4 linked regions of the Diceros bicornis minor genome follow. The protein of the gene in region 3 interacts with the protein of the main gene of each other region in a biochemical or structural test. Links are inferred from orthologs where the notes say so. Each region holds a gene or a part of one and is shown on either strand. Other genes may lie near its edges. The genes, in order: MAP4, MCM7, SNTA1 and MAS1.

What was found.
Region 1: the proteins of SNTA1 (region 3) and MAP4 interact in a test that uses a peptide from one of them, tested with the Homo sapiens proteins (2 studies listed by BioGRID and IntAct). The link is inferred for Diceros bicornis minor from reciprocal best matches to the Homo sapiens genes SNTA1 and MAP4.
Region 2: the proteins of SNTA1 (region 3) and MCM7 interact in a test that uses a peptide from one of them, tested with the Homo sapiens proteins (2 studies listed by BioGRID and IntAct). The link is inferred for Diceros bicornis minor from reciprocal best matches to the Homo sapiens genes SNTA1 and MCM7.
Region 4: the proteins of SNTA1 (region 3) and MAS1 interact in a test that uses a peptide from one of them, tested with the Homo sapiens proteins (2 studies listed by BioGRID and IntAct). The link is inferred for Diceros bicornis minor from reciprocal best matches to the Homo sapiens genes SNTA1 and MAS1.

Annotation. Positions count from the first base shown.
Region 1 is NC_080741.1:49,353,795-49,361,300, forward strand, and holds the start of MAP4 (microtubule-associated protein 4), read right to left. Parts: upstream 3,004-7,506; 5' UTR 2,916-3,003; intron 1-2,915. UniProt on the Homo sapiens protein: Non-neuronal microtubule-associated protein. Promotes microtubule assembly.
Region 2 is NC_080765.1:5,669,574-5,676,486, forward strand, and holds the start of MCM7 (DNA replication licensing factor MCM7), read left to right. Parts: upstream 1-3,899; 5' UTR 3,900-4,000; coding exon 4,001-4,031; exon of another isoform or gene 4,032-4,314; intron 4,315-4,745; exon of another isoform or gene 4,746-4,931; intron 4,932-5,204; coding exon 5,205-5,284; intron 5,285-5,633; coding exon 5,634-5,798; intron 5,799-5,977; coding exon 5,978-6,102; intron 6,103-6,176; coding exon 6,177-6,357; intron 6,358-6,673; coding exon 6,674-6,811; intron 6,812-6,913. Other genes in the region: AP4M1 (AP-4 complex subunit mu-1), read right to left, coding at 1-167, 322-433, 585-635, 872-916, 1,200-1,294, 1,396-1,502, 1,643-1,696, 1,802-1,868 and 7 more. UniProt on the Homo sapiens protein: Acts as a component of the MCM2-7 complex (MCM complex) which is the replicative helicase essential for 'once per cell cycle' DNA replication initiation and elongation in eukaryotic cells.
Region 3 is NC_080758.1:26,311,041-26,318,308, reverse strand, and holds the start of SNTA1 (alpha-1-syntrophin), read right to left. Parts: upstream 3,018-7,268; 5' UTR 2,942-3,017; coding exon 2,632-2,941; intron 1-2,631. UniProt on the Homo sapiens protein: Adapter protein that binds to and probably organizes the subcellular localization of a variety of membrane proteins. May link various receptors to the actin cytoskeleton and the extracellular matrix via the dystrophin glycoprotein complex.
Region 4 is NC_080778.1:9,971,115-9,977,572, forward strand, and holds MAS1 (proto-oncogene Mas), read right to left. Parts: upstream 1,482-6,458; coding exon 507-1,481; downstream 1-506. UniProt on the Homo sapiens protein: Receptor for angiotensin 1-7. Acts specifically as a functional antagonist of AGTR1 (angiotensin-2 type 1 receptor), although it up-regulates AGTR1 receptor levels.

The sequences.
Region 1 (7,506 bases), on a different chromosome or scaffold from region 3:
TCAGGGCTAATCTTCCTCACAAAAAAGAAGAAGAAGAAGAAGAAAAGCGATGCCAAAAATTTGAAATGTCAACAGCAAAAGTTTAGAGCCAAAGGATGGATCACCAAATTCAGAAACAAGATGAGGAAAAAGAACAAGACACTGAGATCAAGAAGAACCATCTCTCTGACTAAAGCTAAGCCACCTATCTTGATGTAGGTGAGGGGTTCAAACCACACAAGCCCCTTCACAAGATGGAACACTCACTCCCACCCCCGCCCTATAACCACAAAAAAAACCACAAGCCGGTATCCTTCCCTGCTCTCAAGCCATTTTGAACAAGCCTGAGAAACCTCTCCTACTCTCCCCTGAAAGCCATGTTATGTAATTAATAAAAGTTTTCATAACCTCAAAAAAATTAAAAAAATAAAACTAAGCCACCTAAACATAAGAAAATCCAGGTGATTCCTTCACTTTCAGCAAACAATGGAAAATGACTTTTTTTTTTTCCTGAGGAAGATTCGTCCTGAGCTAACATCTGTTGTCAATCTTCTTCCTCTTTTTTTTTGGTTGAAGAAGATTCGCCCTGAGCTAACGTCTGTGCCAATCTTCTTCTATTTTGTATGTGGGTTGCCACCACAGCGGGGCCGCTGACAAGTGGTCTCTGCCAGGGAAGCAAACCCGGGCTGCCGAAGTGGAGCACACTGAAGTTAACCACTAGGCCACAGGGCCGGCCCCGGAAAATGACTTTTTATATGTAATGTAAACTTATTTGTAGATTTGGGGATTTTAACACAGGTAAATATATGCTGGGATGACAAATATATGAAGAGATGACTTAAAAAAACAACTGAGACAGAATGGGAAAATGTTTAAGAATCTCCTCAGCACTGTCAAACATTAGTATGTGTGTTTGTAAAATAGGGAAAGAAGGGAGACTCACCAGGCTTCTGTAACTTGATTAAAACATCCCCTAAGAACATCCAGTGCCCTTAGTTCCAATTCTTTAATCAACTGCATTCTTATTACTGATATGGCTGCCCAGAAACAAAGGAGGAGTCCCTGCCAGTGGATAATTAATTCCTATTGTGTACATGGCACTTAATACTTTCGATGTAAATAAACTGGTATTTGGTCTATCAGTCTCTGGTGAGTTTACTTCGCATGAATAAATTCTCAAGCACTTGAATCACACTTGTGTGAACCAAAAATTTTGAGTTTCTGAACTACTGTGTGGGTGTCAGAGAGACCTTGGTGTGGATGCCACTTAACTGCGTGACCTCTTATTCCTGTCAGTCTTAATTTCCTCATTCGTAAATAAATACCTACAACTAGTGCCTAGAAGATGGCAAGTACTCAGAAAGTGATAGCTTTATTATTTTTAAGCAAAATTCGAAAGCAACAGTATAACTGAGGTAAAAACATTTCATCTGAAAAGAAGTACTAAGGACAATCAAACCACATCAATATAAAAGAGACCCCCTGAAGAGAGCCGTCCCATTCTACAAAGCTGAGAAAAGTTAAAAAGCTGCAAGTAAAGTATCCCCTGCACTGTACAGATGGATGGAGTCTCTTGCTTAGCAACTCTAATGTTGTCTACCAAACACCCAGCCTGTAATGGTTAGAGCATGACAACTGTTCACTCTAAATCCATGTGCTCAGCTTGGATTCAGGACTGATTTATAAAAATAGCTGCTGCTGCTCTTTGAATCCCTTTGAGCTGATGACTGGGCAGTGTTACCCTATAGGCCTAGAGCAGCTGTATTCCCTCACCACACCCATTTCTCTGCCTACCCAGCCTAGCTGACGGCACCCCCCTCGCATCTCTGCAGCATACGATTCTCCCTCTTCCTGGGCTGAGTGAGCAAATTACAAGCACAAATATCCCCTGATGCAATGCCACAACCATCCCTGGGAAAGAGCAGAGGCAGTTGCCAAAAGCGCAGCAGCAGGGAAATGGGAGGGAGGCAAACACAGAGCAAGAACACTGCAACGCTAAGCAGCCCGGGAACGGGAATGGAGAGGCCCTGGGGAGCAATACTGTAACTGGACCAGAGGAGAGAAAGGAGAAAAGGGGCTTTCCAGGAGAAAGCTGGATAACACTAACCTCCCCGAGAAGTACCTTTCACTCTGGGTCTGGATCCTAAAACACAAACCTAAGCGTAATCACTGCCACCTTCCAAAAGCAGCAAATGAATTTAATTTACACGTTCCTGGATGGAAGCAAAACCCCCAACATTCCCCCAAGAGGCAATTTCACTAAAGAGCTCACGCAACACAACAGTGAAGAACCTGGTCCATGTACTAAACCACAATCTCTGTTCTCAGTAAGGTTTCCAACTGCCCCTCCTGGTTCCTCTCCCTATCGTCCTATCCCCACCCATACTGAAACCCCTTCGCACTCTCGCAGCCAGACACATGTTTAGTCCCCAAACAGCGCCACGGCCGACGCACGCACAGAGCCCGGGCTGGGGCGCGGTTCTCCAGCCACTCCCACAACCCAAGGGGGCACCCTCTCTAAGGCTCGCCTCAGCCCCACCTCAACTGACCCCCCAAAAGCCTCATGGAACGGCCTCTGAGTTCTCCTACTTCTCCGAGCCCCACCCAGGGCCCCAGACTGCAGCCGACCCTCGCTCCCCGGGCTCAGCCCGATCCCGAGCCCAACGCATGGCACTCGCCACCACGCTCGACCCCCAGAGCCAGACGTCTCGGCCTGCCCCGCCCCGCAGGCCCCCCGATCGCGCCTGGAAGACTCGCAAGACCACGCCCGCAGGCCCCCCGCCCGGCCAACCCCGCGTCCCGCAGGCCGACAGCCACCGCCCTTCCCCGCCTCAGGCGGCCCCTGTGGGGTCCCGAGCGGGCGCGAGGCGAGGCTCGGGCAGCCCCGGGATAGAAGTGAGGCCGCCCCTCCAACTGGGCCCCGCCCGCGGCTGCACCTACCCGCCGCCGCCGCCGCGCCGGAGCCGGAGCCGGAGGGAGCCGGGAGAGGGCCGGGAGGAGCCGGGAGGAGCCGGGAGAAGTCGGGAGGGGCCGGGAGCCAGCCAAGCAAGCCCGAGGGGCGGGGCGCAGGGAGGTGGCCGCTTCCTCGTCGCCCTCTTGAGGGCCGGCGCGAGGGAGGGGCGCCGCCGCCGCCTATCCCGCGGGCGCCGCTGCTCCTGCCAATAAGCGCGGCGAGGGGGCGGGCGGAGGGCTGCAGCGGACCAATGGGCGCTGGCCCCACCGCCTCGACCTCGCGGTGATAGAGGCGCGAGCGGAGGGCCGTTGGGGGCGAAGTACGCATGGGGGTTCCGGAATCTCGCCTCCCGCTGGCGTTAGCCGAAGCGGCTGGCGGGCAGACTGACCGCCCCGCTGCTGTGTGATGGTCGTCCCTTCTTTTTAGAACTTGGGTGCTTGGAGTAGGGAGGATGCGGTCGTCCGGGCACACGCGGCCGGGGTCGGGTTTCCCCCCCCGCGGGCCTGTAGGCTCTGTGATGTAACCTGGGCAGGGCGCGGGGCGGGACTAGGGCGCGGGCCAGCTGGTCGCTGGAACGTACCGTGGGGGCACGAGGCCGCGGCCGGGGGTCTCTCCAGGGGTGCGTGGCCACCAGCCGCAAGTGGCGTGGCTGGTCCAAGTTGAGATGTGCTGTCAGTGTGGAATACACACCGGATTTCCGAGACTTAATACAAAAAAATATATAAAATAGCTCATTCGTAATTTTTATATTGATTACAAGTTGGATAATTGATTACAGTTTTGGATATATTTGGTTAGATAAAATATATTTGAAATAATTTCATGTTTCTGTTTACTTTTTAAAATGTGTCCAGGGCCGGCCCCGTGGCTTAGCGGTTAAGTGCGTGCGCTCGGATGCTGGCGGCTGGGGTTCTGATCCAGGGTGCGCACCGAGGCACTGCTTCTCTGGCCATGCTGAGGCCGCGTCCCACATATAGCAACTAGAAGAATGTGCAACTATGACATACAACTATCTACTGGGGCTTTGGGGGGAAAATAAATAAATAAAATTAAAAAAATAATAATAATGTGTCCAGTAGAAAACTTAAAATTACTATTTGGTTCACATATTTCTGCCGGATAGCGCTGGTTCAAAACTATAAGTGATAACACGTATTTATTGCTTACTATGATCCAGGCATTCTTATAAGTATGTGACACCTAATAACTCGTTTAATCATCACAACAATCCTATATGGTTGGTATTAATGTTCTCATTCTGATTTTACAAATGAGGAAACAAATGAGAAGTTTAGTAACTTACCTAATGTTGGCAAGCCAGTTAACTGGCAGAGTGGGGCCTTAACTCAGGCAGCCAGGCATTTGGGGCGTACACTCAAACCTCTAGAGCAGACTGGTACACTCAAATCACTAGAGCAGACTGGTTACCAGAAGAACGGTGGACTTGGTTGAAAGCCGGGGTTTGAAGTCCAGCTCTGCTACTTTCTAGTTATGTAACCTTAGGGAAGTTAACCTTCAGTTGCCTTATTTATAAAAATGAGATAATACATGTCCCATTTGCAACAACATGGATGGACCTGGAGGGTATTATGTTAAGTGAAATAAGCCAGAAAGAGAAAGACAAACTCTGCATGATTTCACTCATATGTGGAATATAAACCAACACACAGTCAGAGAGAACTGTATTGTGGTTACCAGGGGCAAAGGGGATCGGGAGTGTGCACAAGGAGTGAAGGGAGACATGTATATGGTGACTGACAAAAATGTACAACCAAAATTTCACAACGTTATAAACTATTAAGACATCAATTAAAAAAAAAAAAAAGAGGGGCCGGCCCCCGTGGCTTAGCAGTTAAGTGCATGCTCCGCTACTGGCAGCCTAGGTTCGGGTCCCCGGAGCGCACGGACCGCACTGCTTGTCCGGCCATGCTGAGGCGGCGTCCCACATAAGGAACTAGAAAGATGTGCAACTATGACATACAGCTATCTACTGGGGCTTTGGGGAGGCAAAAAAAAAAAGGGGGGGGAAAGAGGAGGATTGGCAATAGATGTTAGCTCAGGGCCGGTCTTCCTCAGCAAAAAGAGGAGGATTGGCATGGATGTTAGCTCAGGGCTGATCTTCCTCACCAAAAAAAAGATAATACACCATCAGCTTCTCTCGTGGTCACTATTAGAATGACCTAGAGGTAGCATACTGAGGTAGTTAAACTTGGACTCTGGACCCAGACTCCCTGTGCAAATCTGAGCACTGCTACTTAGAAGTTATGTGAACTTGTGGAAGATATTTAATCTCTCTATTCCTCTGTTTCCTCAACTGTAAAATGTAAAATAATGGTACCTACCTCATTTAGGGTTGTTATGTGGATCAGATGTGTTAATATATGTAAAGTGCTTAGATTGGTGCCTAGCACTTCGCAAGCACTTATCAAGTTTACTATTTTTTTTTTTTAAGATTTTATTTATTTATTTTTCCCCCCAAAGCCCCAGTAGATAGTTGTGTGTCATAGCTGCACATCCTTCTAGTTGCTGTATGTGGAATGCGGCCTCAGCATGGCCGGAGAAGCAGCGCGTCGGTGTGAGCCCGGGATCCGAACCCGGGTCGCCAGCAGTGGAGCGCGCTCACTTAACCACTAAGCCACGGGGCCGGCCCCAAGTTTACTATTAATATCATAATGACTATAAAGGAGTGTTAAGAGTCTAGACAAATATGAAAGGATTAAGAGTAAAAGAATAAGTGGCAAAGGCATAGAACTGTGAATTGGAGCCTGGGAAGGACTTTAGGCCAAACGCAGAGAACTGAAATTACTAATCTAGGTCACACACCAGTTAATAAGCCAGGTGTCTTCAGCCCAAACCCAAAGCTTTCCTCCTCTCATACTTACCCAGATTCCAAAGGAGGGGAACTACCATTGCAAGCCTGAATTCATTCATCCAACAGACATTGATTGAGTACCTGCACATCAGGAAGGTCCACACAGTGATGGGCACTTGTACAAAGATGAATAAAATAGGTTTCCTGTCCTGGTGCAATTGGCATTACTTCACACCAAAACCCACAGATTTTGTCTAAGCATGAACTTACTGTTGTAGGAAAACACATACAGGCTTAAAAAGTTACTTTGATTCTTCTTCCTGCTGCCTGGAGTATCCAACCCCAAGGCCTGTCCCAGGCTTCATGAATAGAATTGTCTTTGAATTCCTTAGAAGTCAATGGCTGGGAAGATTCAAAAGTGTTGGAATCCTTCATTCCTCCTTTAAGGTAATAGAGTCACCATATTATGTGTATCCCAAGCTAGACACCCAGGAGTCATTCTCAATTATTCCCTTCCTTCTCGCCGCTCAGGCCTACCAGATGCTCCTTCTGCCTCAGAAACATCATCAACACTGATGCTATTCTGGTTCAGTCCCTTTTCTCTTTCCACAACTACTCCAAGCCCTCCCTCTGCCCCTGCTTCAATCCAAGCTTCACAATCTTCTGCACCACCCCCTCCAGTTCATACACACCTTCCTGCACCCCTTATATGCCCTTCTATTACAGCACTCACCACATATGTGGTAATTATTTGTGTAAACGAGGATCTGCCCTAATAGATTGTTTCTCAAAGTAGAGGTTCATTCTCTTCCCCCGCCTCCAATTGGAAAGAATCTTCTTTCCAGTTCCAGGGTGCCCAGGATGAAAAACATAGATCCCTAGCCTCTCAGAGTTGGACAGGATCTTATCAAACATGCAGTCCCATGTCTAAGGATATATTCTTGAGGTTCTACAAGTTCATAAGAAGACATTTTAGGGTTATCCACTATATTTATTATCCATGAAAAGCATGCTTTATATTTATTCATCCCAATTTTGATCAAAATGTTGCCCAGGACACAAACATGGGCAGAGCCCAACAACTTACCAAAGAGTCATCCCTCCAGTTTTAACCTAAACTACTTCAGTGGCTTTCTATTGCATTAAAATCCGGAAATTAGCTTTCTTTCAAGACCCTGTGCGATGATGCTCTCTCTCTGTCTCGCCTCATCATCTGCCTTATTTCTCACTATGCCCAGCATAGTCTGCCTTCTTTGTTTCCTGAGCTTTCCTCTCTCAGGACCTTCCTCAGGCTATTACGTCTGCCTATCCTAATTTGTAGGTACTATAATTTTCTGTATAGAAAATTTGAGAAGATCTACAAATTACTAGAATTAATAGGAGAATTCAGCAAAGTTACTGGATACAAAGTTAACATACATAAAGGAATAGCTTTCTTATATAGCAGTAATCATCAATTACAAAATGTAATAGAAAAAAAAAACTCCTTCACTACAGTGAAACAATAAAATCCATATGGTACCTAGAAATAAACCTAACAATAGTGTTGTAAGTCTTCTTCAGAAAAACGTTATAAAACTTTACAACTTTTAGAAGACAATATAGGGAGATATCTTGATGCTCTCAAGGTAGGAATCTCTAGCTGAAATTTCTTGGTAACAACGCTTTTCAGAAAAATACACAATTTAAATACCAATTTTTATCATAATTTACAATGTTTATATTAGAATTCCATGGAGAGAGGAAAATATAATTACATGGA
Region 2 (6,913 bases), on a different chromosome or scaffold from region 3:
CTGAGGAAGCGAACCTGGAGGCCGGAGCATGTGTGCCGGGGAAGTTCAAAGGAGAGGCTTGCGGGGCCCAGCCCCAGAGGAGGGGCTGAGGTGGAGGGCCCTTGGCCAGGAGGGCCAGGGAGGCCTGGGACATCCATCTGTGAGGGGCAGAGGCAGGGGGAGGGGTGCTGAAAGCACAGAGAGAAAAAGCAAGGGAAGCCAAGTGGCCAGGAAGCTGCCCACGCTGGCGGGGACAATGCAGCGTCTGCGTGAGGAGGGATGGGTCAGGGGGCTGAAAATGGAGGTGGGAGGAGAGGGCCTGAGAGGATCAGCAGCTGATACCTGGAAAAGGCCTGAGAGCTGAGAGCCTCCTTGCACCCGAGGCAGGTCCCAGTGAAGGGCTCCCTCAGCCAGCTCTGCCTTCTGCTCTGGGCTGCTCAGCTCCTGAGATAGGCTGGAGTTTGGAGAGGAAAGGTGCTGTGCTCAGCCTCTGCCTTCATCAGGAGCAGGCCAGCCCCACCCCTAGCTCACTCCTCCCCAGTGCCATGCCATTGTCCAGGGAAGCTGGTAAAACCACCCGAGCCCCCACAGTGCACACGACTAACCTGACCACCCCTCGTGGCAGGGGAAGATGCAGCCTGACGTTAAGAGCCTGGCTGCAAAGAAAGGAACAGAGTCAGCCCCAGGAAGGTAGTGATTTGTCCCCACTCTTCATTAATGTCACAATTGGAGTTCCACACAAGTGCCACCCCATCCCCTTCCCAAACTCTAGAGCCTCTAACTAAACTGGATTCCGAGGCTGGTGGCTGTATCTGAAGGTGGGAAGCAACAGGTTACTGGGCCTGGTCTCCTACCCCACAGCTGAATTCAGCTTGGCCACCCCGACTTGTACCTCTTTGGGGGCAGGTCACATCGTAACTTCAGATAAACCTGGAGCCTGGGTGAGAGGGTACAATACCGTTACTCAGGCCATACCCTCCTGGCATCTCACCATCCCCTACCCAGGGCCCCCACGCGTGGCTGTGTCAGTGCCCCAAGAAGGAGAGAAGGGCTCCATTAGCCACAAGTGTTCATGGGGCTGAGTGCACTTCGGGGGAGGATGCCTTTTTCCAACTTGTACCATATTACCTCGACCACCACCACTCCACCATAAGTCTTGAGAACATATAGGTATCAGCTTGGATTCCAGAGAATTTCTGGAACAGGGGAAATGGTCTTACCTGCCTGAGCCTCGGTCCCACTGCACAGAGGGAAAGAGCCGGAAGGGGAGCGGGGAGGGGAGGTCATCTGAGAGTTGGTACCGCATCACAGTCAGCTGAGGCCAGAGAGGAATGGAGGTCAGTTTGGTCTCCTCACACTTGAACTGCCTCCCTTCCCCCCAGCAGATGGAATATCTTAGGCCACCCCGATCCTGACCTCGCCCTGAGGTGGCTGCAAGCGGAGGATTCGATGAGACTCAAACTCATCCAGATGCACCGAGCTGTGAAATGAGACCTCATCTACCCGAATTCCTGGCCCATAACCTGGAAAGAGAGAAAGAGCTCTCCTAAGCCATATCTGGGGAGAGAAAAGCAGGGAGGGGGGAGTCTGTCTCTAACTTCACTCCATGAAACTTTTGGCAGTGACCTATACACCTAGGAGAGAAAGACCCCTCTCTCCTCACCTCTCAGTTCTGACTTCCCCACACAAAATTCTTCTGTCAAGCCGATGCACATCTCTGTCAGAGGAAAGGACATCAGAAAAGGCCACCAAATGCTGCCATGCACACCACCAAGGAGCCTGTCCCAAACCCCAGCCTGGGGCCAGCCTGCAGACTTCTCACCGGAGCCGCTGGGAAGAAAGCTCTTGAGTCGGATCTCTCCCTGCACATCCACCTTCAGCAGCGAGCCCTGAGAGTGGCAGGGAGGTTAGTGCCCAGAGGTGACCTCCCTAACACAGTTTCCAAATACCATCTGTCCTCAGCTCCAGGGCTGGGGGCCTAAACTTACGTTAGATGCTATCAGTACGGACAATCTCTCCACCACATCCAAAAACACTTCATTCTTTTGGCTCTGAGGAAGAGAGGGGATTTGGGTGGTTGGAGGCTGAAGGGCCTGTGTTCTAAAGTGGACAGGCAGAAAGGACAGGATAGTGGAGGCCAGGGCCCTGGGGTGGGGACACGGGGGTAAGGGATTTATCCAGCTCTGGAGAGGTGAAAAGAGATGCCAGGATCTTAGACCTGGGGTCCCAGAAAAAAGCCAGAGGGTCTGAACCCATCAGTCCCTCCCTCACCTGGTCGGAGCGGCTGGACAGGACAGGGCGGCTGGCTGCGCTGCTGGGGGCCACTTTGCTCTGTTGGGTCTCGGCCCCAAACTGTAAAGCACCCAAAGCAATCAATCCTCAGGTTTGATACTCCCTGCCAACCCTCCTCCCTCCTTGTCCTCCTCTCTCCCTCAACTGACCAAGCCAACGCTGCTGAGGTCAAAGAGGCTGAAAGGCTTGCTGACCACGGCCTCTGTCTGGATGAAGTTCCTCAGCATCTCTGTGGATGTGGTCTGTACATAGCCATAATCCTATGGACGGGGGAAAGACAGTCTTTGAGTGGTCAGTGGAGGGAGGGGGTGAAAATGCGTGGACTTAGCCTCGCAACCACAGGATATATCTTCAGGGATCAGGGGACAGTGAGGGAAATCCTTGGAACTTACCAGCACTTCATCCAGGAGTTCATAGACAAGAGCCACGTTGCGGGAGATGGTCCCCTCACCCAGGGAGCCACAGTAATCGCCCAGGAGAGTGGCTAAGCTGAGGAGACAGGATGGAGTGTGCATATGCCCCTCCTCTCAGACCCCCACGCCCAGGTGCCCAGGCCTGCCCTCCTCACCGGGACAGCAGCTCTAGGAGGCTGAAGGGAGAAATGTTTTCTGAAGTCGTGGCCACCAAATAGAGGCCGCTGTGTCGGATGTGAATAAAATGACGGTCATCGTGGTGCTGAGGCAGAGGCGGGGTGGGGGGGGGGGAGCATTAGGAAAAGAGAGTTGTCCTGTTTAAGGGCCCATGAGCCTGGGGCTCCTTTCCTGATTCCCCTACTGACTACCAGTGTGACTTCAGGCGAGATATGAAACCTCCCTAGAGCCCACCTTCCTAATGTGTAAAGGGAGTTAATGATGGTACCTACCCCAGAACTGCTGAGGATCGAGACGTGTGAGCACCTGTGCCTGCTATATTGTTACCACTCAATAAACTTGCGTTAATATTATTTGGAAGAATGCACTCCCCCGGTGGAAGCTCTCAGGGAAACATCCTGGGAGGAGGCGCCCCCCGCCCAGGCCAGCCAGGCGCACCCCCCAGTACTCGCCCCCTCCCGCTCCACGAGTGGTTACCATGACAACCGGGGACTCGTCTCCGGGCAGTCCCGTCAGCTTCCGGTAGAAGAGCTCAGCCACATCCCGGCCGCCACTGTCCCCGCGAACTGACCGGGTGGAAGGACAGCTAAGGAGCGGGCGACACAGGCTTGCTCTGGGGCACTATTCCCACCCAGCCCCTCCCCCGCGCCCCCCGGGTCAAGGATACAGTCCTTGTAGATGAGCGGGTCCCCTTTGGAGGACAGAATGAAGAACTGGGAAATCATAGGCGTTCGGAAGAGTAGACAAGGAGACAGCGAAAGTTGGGCCTACCCCGCCCGGCGGCCGCGGAACAAAAGGACGCGCGTGCTGGCCCTTTAAGAGCGAGTCTCCTCCGACCGCGGGAAACCCGGCGCCCGCCCCGCCTCGCCTAGTCTTTCCCTCTCGCCACCCGCGCCGCTTCCCAGTCACTCAGTCCAGGCTCGCCCGGTGATTGGCCGAGGCGGGGGCCTGCGGCGAGTGGGGAGGGTGGAGGGCCTCCTCTCCGATTGGTCCGCACTCAGTGGCGCCGGTCACGTGAGGGGCGACGTTTCGCGCCAATTTCGGTTGGTCGGCTGCAGTCCGCCGCGCGGACGTTCTCTGTGATCCCGAGAGTGAGAACCTTGAGGTCGCCAACTGCTGCTGCACGGCCCTCGGCAGTAATGGCGCTTAAGGACTACGCGCTCGAGAAAGGTAAGGGTGTGCAAGCCTGGCAGCGGCGTCCGGCCAAGACCTGTTGGTGTGAGCTGGGGTCCTGGGGGGCCGGGGGCGGCGGGCGAGACCAGAGCCAGGGTCGGGAGGTAGTGGGTTGAGGCAGACGGTGCCTGGGAGGCGCGCAGGGTGCTGAGGGCGGAGAAGAGCTGTAACCGTGTCAGGGAAGGGAGGACGGATCGGGCTGGGGGTGCGGGCAGCCTGGCTGGGGCTCCAGAGGGGAGGGTCGCGCCCAGGAGAGACCAGGACATCAGGGGACCCTGCTTAAGGCTCAGGCACCCCCGGGCCCGTTTCCTCCGCGCCCTTAGGCACTCTGAGTGCCCGCGTCCTCCCGAGACGCGCCGAAGCCCCGGGGGTGGGCGGTCTCGGGCCGCTGCGCGCCGGGATTGGCCATTTTAGGCCAACCTCCAAGCGGAAGTGAAGGCGGGCGGAAGTTGCGCGACGAGGCTGGAGGGAGTGTCGTGTGTAAACAGTGTCCTTCCGCGCGGCGGCCTCGGAGAGAGCTACTGAGGGCGGGGGCGTGCCTGGAATTGGGGGGCTTAGCGGGAGGCCGAGAGGGGAGATAGTGGGGGAGTACGGAGTGTCCCTGGACGAGCTGGCCAATCGCCGGACGGGCTCCCACCGTGGGCGGAGGAATCCCGGGCTGTGAGGCGGCGGCATCGGGGCCCATGTGCTTCTTTGTTTACTAAGAGCGGAAGCAGTGGCGGGAGAGCGGGTGGAGGACGGGCCTAGTGGCCTCGATCCCAGAGAGAGCAGAGGTTTAGGGGACCGAAAGAAAAGGGGGAGTCATAGGCGTGGAAGAAAAGCTGAGAACCTTGATTGCTGAGTGTGTTGCTGGGTGTGAGAGGCCTTTGGGATAGGCTGCAAAGGTTTCTAACTAAGGTAGAGACTGGAATTCCCCTGGGGGCGGGTGTTGGGTAATACTCCTGCCAGGGGCCCCTGATTCTTCCCTGTTAAAAACAGACTTGTTAAAAAGGAGTTCTGCCCAGTTTGGGGAGAATTATTTAGGCTTATTTAAATGTTCATATAATTAATTAGTTTACAGATCTTGTTTTAAATGGGGTGGGTTTCTTAGATTTCTATCAGAGGGGTTTACGGTAAGGTTATCTGAAAGAAAGAAAGGTTGATCGTCGTGATTTTACGTTTACATTATAGAAAAAGTGAAGAAGTTCCTACAAGAATTTTACCAGGATGAGGAATTTGGCAAGAAGCAGTTCAAGTATGGGAACCAGTTGGTAAGTGTAAGACTAGGTAGAGGGAATGGGGTGGTTGCTTAAGGAGCTCTAAGAGGTGGCCTGGCTTATTTCAGCAGTTACATTTGTCGGTAAGGGACACAAATTTAGCACCATACCTGATACTGGTAAGTGAATAGAAAGCTACGTTCATGATAACTAAGGTGTTTTCAGGAGTTGGAAGGCTGTCTTTTGGGGGCTGAGAAGTGAGTTTTGCTATGTCTCACACCACTCTTGCTCTCCTGTGGAGACCTGGAACCTATGTGTTGAGCTCACAGTGATGGGGTCCTTGCCTGTGAACACTGGTGAGCACAGTCATCTTAGCTCTGTTGCTGTCTCTTCCCCACCGCAGGTTCGCCTGGCTCATCGGGAACAAGTGGCAATGTACATAGACTTAGATGATATAGCTGAGGATGACCCTGAGTTGGTGGACTCGATTTGTGAGAATGCCAAGCGCTATGCACGGCTCTTTGCTGATGCTGTACAGGAGCTGCTGCCTCAGTACAAGGAGAGGGAGGTGAGTGGTTGCAGAATAATGCAGGGCAAGGAACTTAGGTTTCTGTTAAAAAGTTTCTCAGATACTGATGGTTTCTGAGCTGGCAGAAAGAGGGGCAGTGATTTCTGCTTGGTGCCTTTTATGCTGTCTTTTTCCCGTTTTGCCACTCATTTTTCGTATCTTCCTCCCTCTTCCTTTAGGTAGTAAATAAAGATGTCCTGGACGTTTACATTGAGCATCGGCTGATGATGGAGCAGCGGAGCCGGGACCCTGGGGCACCGCGAAGCCCCCAGAACCAGTACCCTCCAGAACTCATGCGCAGATTGTAAGTGGTCTCAGTGGGGAAGGGTGTGAGAATTTATCCTTCAGGACCCTGCTGATGACTATCTTTTCCCTTAGTGAGCTCTACTTTCAAGGCCCAACCAGTAACAAGCCTCGTGTGATCCGGGAAGTACGAGCTGACTCTGTGGGGAAATTGGTAACTGTGCGTGGAATCGTCACTCGCGTTTCTGAAGTCAAACCCAGAATGGTGGTGGCCACTTACACTTGTGACCAGTGTGGGGCAGAGACCTACCAGCCGGTATGTATGGAGCAAGAAACAAGCACATGCTTAAATTTGTTCATTTTGAACAAGAAGTAATTTTGTCTGCTGGTGTTTGTCATTTTCTCTGTTGTAAAGTATGCCTGTATATTCACGTTTTATTCTTTTTCGGGTATGTGGTGGTCTTTTCTGTTCATTTTATTCTTGGTGCCTGTTGATATTGATGCAGAATAGTTCAAGATGTTCTTGACAATCCATGGTATCTGCCATGAAGAAGAAATATGATTTGAGTGACTGATTCTAAGGGCCTCGTTTCCTTCTGATTTCCTGTGTTACTTCCTTTCTTATATCTTAGATCCAGTCTCCCACTTTCATGCCTCTGATCATGTGCCCAAGCCAGGAGTGTCAGACCAACCGCTCAGGAGGGCGGCTGTATCTGCAGACACGTGGCTCCAAATTCATCAAATTCCAGGAAATGAAGATGCAAGAACATGTGAGTTTGGGGTATGTGGCGCAGGGTCCAGGGAAGGTGGAGCTTGGGAGGCTACTCGAATCCTGCAGTCACTCGTGGACTAGAAGAGAGGGGAACAAAAGG
Region 3 (7,268 bases):
CCATGCTGAGGCCGTGTCTCACATACAGCAACTAGAAGTATGTGCAGCTATGATATACAACTATCTACTGGGGCTTTGGGGGGGGAAATAAATAAATAAATAAAATTATTAAAAAAAAAGATAGAATTCAGCTATTCCTATGGCCCCAAAGGATCTCCTGAGCAATCAGAAAGTTTTACAATCCAGAATCCAGGCTGGAAACCAAAGCCTCAAAGTCTGGAGATTTCAAAAGCCTGTCTGAATTGCACCTCTGATGCAAAAAAAGCTAATACATTTTACTGAATTGCTTTACCGCTAAACTCTCGAATGTCCTTTGAAAATAAGAAATAGTAATAACGGTTCACATTAGTTCCATGTACCAAGTGCCAAGCAGTGTGTTAAATGCTTCCTATGCTGTCTCATTGCATCTTCACAACAACCAATCACACAGGCACGCTCAGTTTCCTATCAGAAACACTGAGGTGTGGAGAGAAGCCCCTTGCCCAAGGTCACCCAGCTAGTTAGTGGCAAAGCCAGTATTTGAACCTAGGTCTCCAGGCTCCAGAACCAACACTCTTAACCCTATGGCAGACTGCAAGTCAAACCCTCAGATATTACACTACTGGTCCATCCCCAGAATACTAAAGATGAGGAACTAGTGGCCCAGAGAGGGGAGGTCATTATTCCGAGATCACACAACAAATTGGTGGCAGAGGTGGACTGGAACGCTTCTCCTGACCCCCACACAGGCCCAAAGGTTTGTTCATTGCACTGCACAGAGCTGGAGGCCTAGGAAAGGAAGGGGCTTCTATTTATATCTGCCCTCATCCCCCTGAAGCTAGGGACTTCAGTTCGGTTTCAAGCTATGATCATTCCTGGCTGCCTTGGGCTAAGCTAGACCCTATAGGGGAGGTCACCATGGCAACAGGAGCCCAGTCTCCAACCACCAAGAACTGAATGGAGCTGGTACTTGCCCTGATGCCTCCTAAAAGAACCTTTACACACACACACACACACACACCCGGAAATATGGAGCTGGGAAGTAACTTTATGTGACCTTGGAAAGTCCCTGCTCATCTCCAAGTCTCAGTTTGTCCAACTGCAAAATGGAACTCTATATGAACTCTAAGTTCCTTCTTGCTTTGACACACTGAGTGTACAATTTCTGGATTGATCTGTTGCCCTATCGCATGTGGGAGTTTGGAGGCAAGACTGGTGCTCACTCCCTGGCTTCCCTATTTTCCCCTTTTCGATGCTTTGGTTGGGTTCCAGAGGGCAGAACCAACTCCCCTGGGCACTCTATAGTGTCCTGATAATTGACGTTCGAATCCCTGCCACTCGGTGACTGTATGATCCTGGTTAAAATCATTTTACTTCTCTGAGTCTCAGTTTCTTAACGCGCAAAATGGGGATTACGCTCCCTACCTTCCACCACTTGTTGCCAGGATGAAGTGGATCGTGAGCCTAGAGTTCTGGGCACAGCAGTCAGCACACAGTGGTAGCCGAGTCACCACCATCCCCAGCCCCTCACCCAAGCCAAAGGGTCTGGAGGCACTAGTGAACAAGAGCCAGCACCAGGGAGGGGGAACAGTGCATATCCAGGGTGACACAAGGGCTAACACCCTTTCCCAAGGCAGGTAGTACCCTGCTGGGAGCTGAGACCCTGAGAAGCAGATGGGTAGGAACGGTGAAACCAACAGCTGGTGGTGTGCAGGGATTTCAAGCGCTATGGTTAGTTGCTTTGGGAGTCTCTCCTGACCTCCATTTTTTCTCTCATCTAACAGCAATAATTAACCAGGCACCTACTATGTGCAGCAGGGTGAGTACTTTAGATCCCTGTTTTCACAGAAACATCACAACTCTCTCATTATCCTCATTATATAGTTGAAGAAACTGAGGTTTAGAGATGGGAGGTGACTTGTCCAAGTTCACATAGCTGATCCCCGACTCAAACAAATCTGGTTGCACCCTAAGGAAAGCTGTCAGTATTGGGGGCTGGCAGTTCTCAGAGAGGAGGAGGGCTCTATGTCCACGCCTCTCAATCCCGTGCAAGGTAGAGATGGTCAGGTCAGGAAACTGAAACCCAGTTGTTAGGACTCTCCGCCTAGGTACACAGCCTTCTGGACCCTGTCTGTGAGCCCAGCCGGTGCTTCCACCTACGTCTCTGATTCCCTGCCCCATCCCCTGCCCCGCTGTGCTCCCGACTTCAGGCCTCACCCCCGCGCCCCGCTACCTCGGTTACGCCTCAGGGACTTCCCCTCCCTGCCCTAGCAGCGACCCAGGCCTCAATTCTCTTTCTGCATCCTTTGCTCTCCCGGGGCCCCTCTTGTCCTTGATGCCCACGCAACCCCTGAGAGGCAACCCCTCTGAGATCTCTACGCCTCCACACAAAACTCCCCAACCACGTGTCCTTGGTGCGCCCCCAATCCCTTCCACACCTGTGCCTTCCGACTGAGACCTCTGACTCCCCAAACCCCCTCCGACCTTGGTGCTCCCCACGCTCTCGGTTCCCTCTGTCCGCTCAGACCCCTTGCCCCAGACAGAAGTCCTCCAACTCCATGTCCTCGGCACGCTGCCAGCCCCCGCGGCCCCTGCGCCCTCGGCGGCCCCAGAGACACCACGGCCCCTCGCCCTCGGTGCCCCCGCGCCCACCTTTGATGCTGATGCCCAGCCCGCCGGCGTCGGCCTTGCGCACCGTCACGCGGCGCCGCTGGAGCAGCAGCGCCTCGGGCGGCTGCGGGGGCGCCGCACTCGGCTCGGCGGCGCCGTTGAGCTGCGCGGGCTCCGATTCCCGCGGGGCGCCGGGCTCCGGGCCGGGCTCGCCGACGGCGGGGCTCACGGTCAGCGCGTCCTCCGCCAGACTGAGCAGCACCCGCTGCCACCGCTCGCCGCCGGCCCCCGAGCCCGCCCCGGCGCGCAGTTCCAGCAGCCCGGTGCGCGGGGCGCGCCTGCCTGACGCCATCTTCGCCTCCGAGCCCCCAAGCCTCCTGCCCGGCCCGCTCCGACCGAGCGCCCAGGGCAGAGGGCAGCGGCGGCCCGGCTGGGCCAGCCGCCACCCTACCCCCGGCCGCTGGGGGTGGAGCCTCGAGGGGCGGGGCTGTCTGGGGGTGTGGCTAACCGCGAGGGCGTGGCCGCAAGCAAGCTGGCGGGAGGCTGGGGCGGGGCCCAGGAGCCGAAGGATGCCCTGTGAGACTGCTTGGGGGGTGGGGTCGTAAGGCGCCGGGGCGGGGCCACGAAGCAAGGAGACGAGCAGGTGAGGTGCTGGAGCTGAGCCCGGCCATGCAGGGGGCGGGGCTTCGTGCCGGGGGCGGAGCCCTAGGATCCTGTGGAGGAGACTCCGCGCTGGGCCTGGCCGTCGAGTGCTGGGACCGCAGCTCACGGACGTGGGAACCAAAGAAAAAGAGACGTGGATCCGAGTGCGAGGCTTTGGGCGTCGGAGCGAGGCTACATATGGAGGAGCGCTGGACTCCAGGGACAGGGCTTGAGTTTAAGAGGTGGACCCCGGTCTGCGAGGGACTTAGCCGGAAGGGTTGCTAATGAAGAGCTTTGGAAGGAGCTGGTTTCCCACTGTGGGGCTGGAGCTTTGGTCTGTAGGCTTGGCTTAGTGTGGGGCGTGGCTTCTAAAGCTGACATGCCCCGCCCGCAGGGATGAGCGTGCTGCTGGCTCAGGGCTTGGAGAAGGGGTGGACAACGTCCCCACTTTAAAGAGAGTTTAGGAGATTAACCCCCTGTTTTGTTCACAGCCGAATACAGAAAAGCCTGAAGTCCCACATTGAGAGACCTGGCCTGAGAAGAATCCAGAACTCCTGGTGTGAGGGAAGAGGGCTGGAAGTTGGGTTTCTGGGTCCAGGAGTCTGGAGACCTGGTTTAGGGTCCCTGCTCAGACACTGTTAGCTTCATGTCGACGGTGGTCCCATCACTTCACTTGTCTAAGCCTCAATTTCGTCATCTGTGAAATGGGGGTCATAATAATCCCTACCTCACAGGGCTTGTGTCAGGGTTAAATCAATGTGAAAACACATTGTCAACTGTAAATTCCTAGGCAATCAGTATAATCACTTTCATTTACTGAATGCTTACTATTGGCCCATATCTGAGCATTTTTGATGTGTTATCTCATCTTTACAGTAGACTCATGCAGTAGCTACAGTTAAGAATACCCCCATTATACAGAAGGGAGAACTTGGATTGAGAAGGTCTAATTGCGTGGTCACACATTTGTGAGTGGAGCAGAGCAGGGATTCAAACCCAGGCCTGTTTGACACCAGTGCCTGGGCACTGACCCACTCTGCTAGACAGCTGCAAAGTACAGAAGTGAGGCGTAATTGTTATCAGAAAAATCCCAGCACACTGCACACCTCAACCCGCCCTCATATCTGCCCCTTGTCTCCATCCCCCCACTCCTACCTGGGATGTGTTGGGCAAAAATTGTTAGGGCCACATCAATGTGTAGACTCCCTGCACCTTCAGGTAGAAGCCTCCACATAAGATACCATCAAGATGGCCAACAGGCACATGAAAAGGTGTTCAACATCACTAATTTGGGAAATGCAAGTCAAAACCACAATGAGATATCACCTCACACCCGTCAGAATGGCTATTATTAAAAAGACAAGAAATAACAAGCGTTGGAGAGGATGTGGAGAAAAGGGAACCCTCGTACATTGTTGGTGGGAATGTAAATTGCTGCAGCCACTATGGAAAACAGTAGGGAAATTCCTCAAAAAATTAAAAATAAAACTACCATAGGGTCTAGCAATGCCACTTCTGCGTATTTATCCAAAGAAGAGGAAAATACTAATTCAAAAAGATATATGCACCCCTATGTTCATTGCAGCATTATTCACAATAGCCAAGACTTGGAAACAACCTAAGTGTCCATCCATGGATGAATGGATAAAGAAGATGTGGTATATATATACAATGAAATACTACTCAGCTTTAAAAAAAGATGAAATCTGGGGCCGGCCCCGTGGCTTAGGGGTTAAGTGCGCGCACTCTGCTGCTGGCCGCCCAAGTTCAGATCCCGGGCGCGCACCAACGCACTGCTTGTCCAGCCATGCTGAGGCAGCATCCCACATACAGCAAGTAGAAGGACGTGCAACTATGACATGCAACTATCTACTGGGGCTTTGGGGAGAAAAAGGGAAAAAAAAAAAAAGGAGGAGGATTGGCAATAGATGTTAGCTCAGGGCTGGTCTTCCTCAGCAAAAAGAGGAGGATTGGCATGGATGTTAGTTCAGGGCTAACCTTCCTCACACACACACACACAAAAAGATGAAATCTTGCCATTCATGACAACATGGATGGACCTTGAAGGTATTATGCTAAGTGAAATAAGTCAGATGGAGAAGGACAAATACTGTATGATTTCACTCATATGTGGAAGATAAACACATAGATACAAGAACAGATTGTCAGTCACCAGAGGGGAAGGGGGTAAGGAGAGGGCAAAAGGGGTAAAGGGGCACATGTGTACAGTGACAGATGGCAACTAGACTTTTGGTGGAGAACATGATATAGTCTATACAGAAGTTGAAATATAATGATGTACACCTGAAATTAATATGTTATAAACAAATGTTACCTTAATAAAAAAAACAAGATACCATCAAGAAAAAAAAACACAAGAAAACAGGTACGTATACAAATTGTCCACAGCAAACTTATGTTTGCAAATAACCAGAGATGAACCCAAGTGTCCAACCACAGGGGAATGGCTCTATACCACCAAAATCCGCTGAGGCCATGTACATAATACATGTATGTATTATACGCACAAGTACATAAAATATATAGATGCCATTTATTCAGTTTGTTATACATTGGCACATGAGCTGGCTGATTTTGTACATTGTCATTTAAACTTCACATAAATCCTGCACAGCCTGCATATTATCCCCTTTTTATAGATGAGAAAATTGAGGCACACCACTAGTAAGAACAGACCTCTAGGGGCCAGCCCCGTGGCTTAGTGGTTAAGTGCGCGCGCTCCGCTACTGGCGGCCCGGGTTCGGATCCCGGGTGCGCACCGAGGCACCGCTTCTCTGGCCATGCTGAGGCCGCGTCCCACATACAGCAACTAGAAGGATGTGCAACTATGACATACAACTATCTACTGGGGCTTTGGGGGAAAAAAAAGGAGGAGGATTGGCAATAGATGTTAGCTCAGAGCCAGTCTTCCTCAGCAAAAAAAGAGGAGGATTAGCATGGATGTTAGCTCAGGGCTGATCTTCCTCACAAAAAAAAAAAAGAACAGACCTCCATTCTAATTTGGGTCTGTCTGGCTTCCAAGCCCATATCCCTCCTACTCCACCTTTCTGCAGGCCACATAGCAGCAAGGGATGCGTTTACAATCCATTCATTCATTCAACAATATTTATTGAACATCCACTATGTGCCAGACACAGTACTAGGTGCAGAGATTCAGCTGTAAACGATAGGCTCACTGAACATACCATCCCCTGGGAGGCAGGATCCCATGGTGGTCAAGAGCATGAGCTTTGGATTCTGATTTTCTGTGTTCAAATTCTCACTGTGCCTCTTTTTTTTTTTTTCCCCCTGTGAGGAAGATTGGCCCTGGGCTAACATCCATGCCCATCTTCCTCGACTTTATATGTGGGACGCCTGCCACAGCATGGCTTGATAAGCGGTGTGTGGGTCCACACCTGGGATCCAAACCTGCAAACCCCGGGCCGCTGAAGCAGAGCATGCGAACTTAACCACTATACCACCAGGCCAGCCCCTCGCTGTGCCTCTTTCTATCTTTGTGATCCTGGGTGACTTATTTAACCCTTAAGCTTCAATTTCATAGCCTATAAAATGGGGTATTAAAATCACTATCCCAGAGATTGGATATTGGAATGAATAAAATAATGCTGGTAAACTGCTTAGCATAATTATTGTACATAGAAAGCATTCGAAAAAATATGAGTTGTGGGGCGTCCCACATAAATATGGCGGCATCCCATGTAAAGTAGAGGAAGATGGGCACGGATGTTAGCCCAGGGCCAATCTTCCTCAGCAAAAAGAGGAGGATTGGCAACAGATGTTAGCTCAGGGCTAATTCCTCACAAAAAAAATAAAACACGAATTGTAATTATCCTGGAAAACAGGCATCTATCAAATAGCTTTAATTTAGAGTGATAAGTGTCAAAACAGGGGAGACACAAGTGGAAAAAAAGAACCCAGCATCTGACATATATGTGACTCAATAAGAAATGGAAGGAAGGGGCCGGCCCGGTGGCTTAGCGGTTAAGTGCGGGCGCTCCGCCGCTGGCGGCCTGGGT
Region 4 (6,458 bases), on a different chromosome or scaffold from region 3:
CTACAAGCCCGGGAGGTATGGACTATTACTGTCACCATTTTATAAGTGAGGAAATGAGGCTCCAAGAGGTTAAACCACTTGCCTGAAGTTGCACAGGCAGCAAATGACAGAGTCCGCCTGACTCCCAGGTCCATGTTCCTCCCGCTACATTGCTCTGCCTCCTCTAGTTCCAATAAATACTTTTGTTACCTTTTCTTGTACACAGTTATAAACCTTCCTGCCAGAGGAATTTTTATAGTTCATGGGAAAATGCTGCCAGAAGAGCTGAGGAGGAACAGAAAGAATGTTTTTGATAGGTACAGAAATGGTAGAGGTCCAACACGTATTCAGGCATTTCCAAAAGATACAATACAGTAGTACAACCTCATCATTAATTAGTGTCTCATGCATATAGGATGGGGTGTCCCTCTGTATCATGTTGAGGAGATACTTAAGTTGTGTTCCAAACACAAACTACAAATTATCTGTGTCCCACCATTTTTGTCCACTATGTCACTCCACCATCCTCAGACGACAGTCTCAATTGTGGCGGCATTACCATTGTCATCTTGGCGCCTGGGTTGCATTTCATCTTTGAAAGCCCTGGTCAGAACCACTTTTAAGGACTCTTTGAATCGCTTCTTCTTACTGCTGCCCACAAAGAAGTAAATAAAAGGGTTGGCACTGCTATTGATCGTGGAGAAGAGAAGAGAAATGTGGTGCAAATTCTTGAATGTTGACCAATACTCATAGTACAGCAGGTAAAGGAGTCTCATGGGCATGGCGAAAATGAGGAAGATGATGATGGTGACCATGATGACCATGAACAGCTTTGAGGAATGGGCTGTCCACGTGTTCTTTCGGATCTTGACTACCAGGATGGTGCTGGAAACCACCATGAGTGGAGTGAAGACCAGGAAGCTCAGAACGGCTATGAAGATGATCACCGCCCTGCAGTCGCTTCGAGAGTGACTCTCACCTTCACTGTCAATGCACATGACATATTCCATGGTGGTCACTAAGCAAGAAAGTGCCCACAGGAGGGCGCAGACGAATGCCGACTGGTGCTTGGGGCGATGACATCGGTACCAGATGGGGTACAGGACGGACAGGCACCTCTCCACACTAATGGCCGTCAGCAGATAGAGGCCCGTGTTGTAGCCAAACAGAAATGTCACCGATAATGTGACAATTGTGTAGTAATAGCCAGAAGAGAGCTCATAGTCTAAAGCATAGTCAACAGACAGGATAAAAATACAGAAGAGTAGAGAGATGTCCGCAATAGACAAGTGGGTGATGTAGACTGTGAAGGGATTTCTTCTCATCCGGAAGCAGAGGAACCAGAGGAGAATTCCGTTTTCAACAAAGCCCAGTGGGGAGATGCTCATAATTACCCAGTGCACGATGGGAATCTCCCGATGCGGGTCTCCGACGGAGGTGTTCCTGCTGGTTGAGGCGTTTGTGGACTCCTCAACAAATGATGTCGCATTTGACTCATCCATGAGGAGGCCTCAGGCTGGGGCTCTTTGGGTAATTTTCTGTAAATAAGTTTAAAAAAAAAAAAACCATGAAAATTGATGAAGTGGAGGAAAAGGGAGAATTTCCGCTATGGATCATAACCTTCATGCTGTACAAAAAAAAAGTTTAATAGACCGTACAATTCTCTTTTTAATGATGATCAAATTAGACATTTCACCAGAAAAGAGAATTGATTTAATGACTTTTTGATCTCCCAATTGCCCTTATTTCTGTATTATTATTTGCTTGTGTTTCAGTGCCACAAGGGGTCTGGCAAAGCCAGAGAGTCTGAGTTCCTGGTGTGCATTTCTGGTCTGGCCCAAGATTTCAGAATGGCATTTTGAAAATCATTTCATCTCCTGTGCCTCCATCTCCTGGCCTGAAGGACAAGGTTAATCGCGTTAAAATGCCATGACAGAATACATGTTTGGGCAATCTTGTTGTTGTTGTTTTTCAATGCATAAAGTGCCATAAGCCATGAGTAAAGGAGAGGGAATAGCTAGCAAAATTATGTACAATAGTGTACCAATATTTTTGAAAGTATGAACAATTAGAAGGCCTTTATTTTATGTAGTCTCAATACCTGTGACAAAGCTGGGCACGTACTCAGACTAGGTGTGCAGTGTAAACCAAGACTCTGCAACAGATGGCGGGCCTTAACAAGAGGTATTTACACATCCACATACCATAGGCCAGACTAGGCAGGAAAACACTATTGACAGACATTAAACAAAGCATTAACCTGAAATCAATAAAAACGCTAAACGTTTGAGACCGCAAAGCAAAGATTCTCAGAAACTTTCCCTCACACGTTACAAACTGCAAAATAAATACACGCACAGCCCACACCCTCTTCCTGTTATGTAACAAACAGACGTAAGCCACTTTCACCACTGGCCTTGGCTGTTTTTTTCTTTAGACTTTTTTTTTCGGTGTTAAAATATTGTTCTTTGCTTTTTGAACTTTGTCCTTGCAGAACAGGGCCCCTACATGTGCAAAAAATAATGAACGTTTAGGAAGCTGACCAAAACAATATTTCTATTGGTAGATATCTGCCTTTTCCTCACAAGCTCACCTGAAGCAGAACAGTACATAGATGTGATATTTTGTGGAGCTTGAATGTCTCTGATGATATGAGACGTTTCCAGGATTGAGTCAGCAGAACCCTGGCATTGGCCAGGGTTTTCACTCAGTACAGCTGTGCCTGAAACCTGGGCTAGCAGGCGGACTGGTGAAAGGATAGTTACCTCCCCGGTGGTGTGATCCAGGAGCCTGGAGAGGTCCCTGCCTCCGCTGTCCTGAACCCCCGTCTCCCCACTAACACTTCCCTCAGCTGTTCTGACGAGATACTGGAAATTGTTTTCACTGGGGCAGAGTCTCCTTTCATTTCATAATTACACAGAAGATATAGGCCCCAATACCCTCTGGGCCCAACACAAGAACCGCAATTCACAATACCACAGCATGGCCGACCAAAGATCTGCTGTAGAGACCAGCGTTTGTTGTAAGTTTGTAGGTAAGACAGCCATGTTCCGCCAAATCACCCATCAAATATTTATTCAGTGCCAACTCCATGCCAGGCACTGTTCTAAGCACTGGGATACAGCAATGAAAGAAACACACAAAGCACCAACCTCTTAGAGTTTATATGCCATTGGGGGGGGGCAGTCAATAACCAAATAACATAACAACAACAACAAATAAATAGATGTCAGATCATAATAAGTGCCACTGAGAAAAGTAGAGCATGAACCATGTCACGGACCAGAGTGTGGTGGTGGCAGTAAGACGTGGGTAGACTCTGGATACAATTTGATTTGCTGATGGATAAGATATGTGTTATCGTAGAAAGAGAGAACACGTTTTTAGCCATTTTCTGAATGGACAAGGCACAGGTGGAGCCGGTTAGGAGGGGCATATGGAGTTAAAGAAGCCTATGTGACAGCCAAATGGAGGTGTCTAGTAGGGCGTCAGGAGTTGGGGGGCAGATGTAGGCTGGGGATATAAATGTGAGTGTTGTATACAAACAGGTGGAATTTAAAATCATGAGGCTAAATGAGATTACCCATGAAATGTGAGTAATCAAAAAGGAGAAGGGGTCCAAGGACTGAGCCTTGGGACATTTCAAAGTTTAGAGGTTAGAAAGAAACAAGAGAAACAAGGATCTGAGACAACTAAGAGAGTGGTATCTGGGAAGCAAAGAAAGTGTTTGAAGGAGAAGGGAGTGTGATCGACTGTGCTAACATCACAGCAAGTTCCAGTCACGTGAGAACTGGAAATTGACCATTAGAGGAGAGTCATTGTTGACCTTGATGAGAGAAGTTCTGGTGGAGTAGAGAAAATGAAAGCCTGATTAATCAAGGTGGATTCCAGAGAGGATGGGACGAGAGTAAGTGGAGACAGTGAGTATAGACAACCTTCTCATGGAACTTGAATGTAAATTCAAGCAGAAATGGAGCAGTAACTGGAGAGGGCTGTGGGGTTGAGGGAGAGTTGATAAACTGATGAGAATTATCCGGTAGAAAGGAAACAATGGATGATACCTGAGGGTAGGGATCTAGAGCTCCGAGGAGTTGCTGGCCTTAGGTAGGAGCATAATTTATTCATGGGAACAGAGGGAAGACAGAGGATCTGGTTAAAGATGCAGCCAGGTGGGTAGAGTGACAGGGGAGTGTTAGATGTTAGAAGAAGTTCTCTTCCGAACGTACAGTATCTCTTTTTTCAGCAAAGTAAGGAGCAAGGTCATCAGCTAAGAATAAGGAGAGGTTGAGGGTTTAAGGAGAGAGGGAAAGTGTGAAATAATCAAGTGAAGGAGGGAAAGGACTAGGGAAATACACAAAGAGCAGGATGGCCAGGCAAACCTTAGAGCCTGCCCAGGCTGGTGCTCATGAATTTAAAGAGACAATTCAGCATGACATGGGCTTTTCTCCAGCTCTGGTTCAGCTGCCCGGGTGCAAACCCGGAGAAAGAAGACGGTTGGATTTAACCAGGGTTGGCTATTATCAGGCTTGTGCAATGGACAGTGGGGGGCAAAGGAATTGAAGCCCATGGAAGGGAGTGGTTATGACGACATACTATGGAATTCAACAGAGTTAGGAGAAAAGTGAGGTCTCGGGGAGGTGACGGACAATGAGCAGGAGATAGGAGCCATCTATTGCAGATCTCAGTGGTGTCCGAGAACCGCTGAGGTGCCGGAACTAAAGGCAGAAACTGGAAAATGGTGGTGGTGGGGGGCGGGGTTGGAGAATGCGATGCTTGGAACTGAGATTATGGCCGTGTGGTGTTGGGGTTATTTGTATTGACAAGTGTAGAGCATGGCCATGGGGATGAATGGCTGAGGGACAGTGGAGGACAAGGTCATGTGAGGGGAGACCAGGACCTGGAGGCCAGGGCTCTGGAAGAGTACCTATATGGACACTGAAATATCTATATGGACATTGAAATCACTGGGACGTAGTGTTGGAGATAGGAATAGACTTAGAAAATAGTGACTGTGAGCCAAGGGCTAAAATCTTCCAGGGATTTGAGAAAGCGACTGAGGGATCTGCAGATAGTCACAGAGAGGAGGGTGGTAGGTGACATAGTTGGATGGCATGCGCCTCAGAGCTGGGCGTTTTGTTGCTGCTGCTGCTGCTGCTGGTAGTGGTGGTGTTTTAGGGAAAGAAGAAGAAAAAAGAATAATCCGGAGTACAAAAAGATAGAGAGTAAACGGGGTCTAGACCAGCACTATCCAATAGAAATATAACACGAGCCACAGGTGTAATTTAAGTTTTACTAGTAGCCACACATAAAAAAGTAAAAAGAAATAGGTGAAATGAGTTTTAATAACATTTTATTTAACGCAATGTGTTCAAAATATCACCGCAACATGTAATTAATATAAAAAATGATATATTTTACGTTATTTTTTTTCACATCAAGTCTTCAAAATCCAAGGTGCCTTTTACTCTTAGAGCTCATCTCCTTCAGACCAGCCACATCTCACATGCTCAATAGTCTTTTGTGGGTAGCAGCTAGCACACTGGATGGCTCAGGTTTAGAGCCATCAGAAAACCAAAATGCCTTATACAAGGAAGTCAAATGTCTTCGTCTTTTAATAACAAACCTAATCCAAAGACTAGAAATAAAATCAGGACCTAATCAGAATTTTTAAGAAAATTGACAAGAACATCTTTCTGACTCTGCTCACACCCTTGAACCACAACCTCCTTCAGGTTTCCGCCTCTCATTACGTGCAACAGAGCTCTCATGCACTCCGCACAAAAATCAGGTAGGAAAGGTGTTTTGACGCCTAAGATCAAATTGTATTTTCCTTTTAGAGTCAAACCAAAGTAACCAAATTCACTTTCTGCAGATATATCACCTTCTCTCCATTTTCAAACAAACATGTTTCAGCCACTGTCCTAAGTGTTATGGATAAGGAAATAGATAAGACACAGTTCTCTGCACAGGGAGAAAGAACTAAATCTAATTCAATATGGGAAATGGAATAAAGGAGACCTTAACCGTGAGCCGGGCAAGCACAGAGCAGGAAGCAATGACTCAGGGTTTCAAGGAAGGCTTTACAGGGCTGGGCATTGAAGGGTCAGTAGGAGTTTGTTAGCTGAGGAGGGGAAGAAAGGCATTTTAAGAAAAGAGAACAGATGGATAGAGGCATGGAGGCAGGAGGGCACAGGATGTTCAGGTGGGGTTTGAGGATTCTGGTGGACCTTGGGCAGAGAAAGGACTTTGTAAAGAAATGAATGGCTGGACTGAATTCAGCATGAAAACCTGGTTACCATACTTCCTTAAACGTCAGACTTCTTTTACAGGCTATGCTTATTCAAGTTTAGTGCCTAAAAATTACCTGGGGTCGCTTATTAAAAAGGCAAATTCCAGGGCCCCACTGTTTCAGAAAGCCCTGGAATCTGAATTTTCCTAGCCCAGGGGATTCTGATGCAGGTGGGTCCAGGACCATGGTT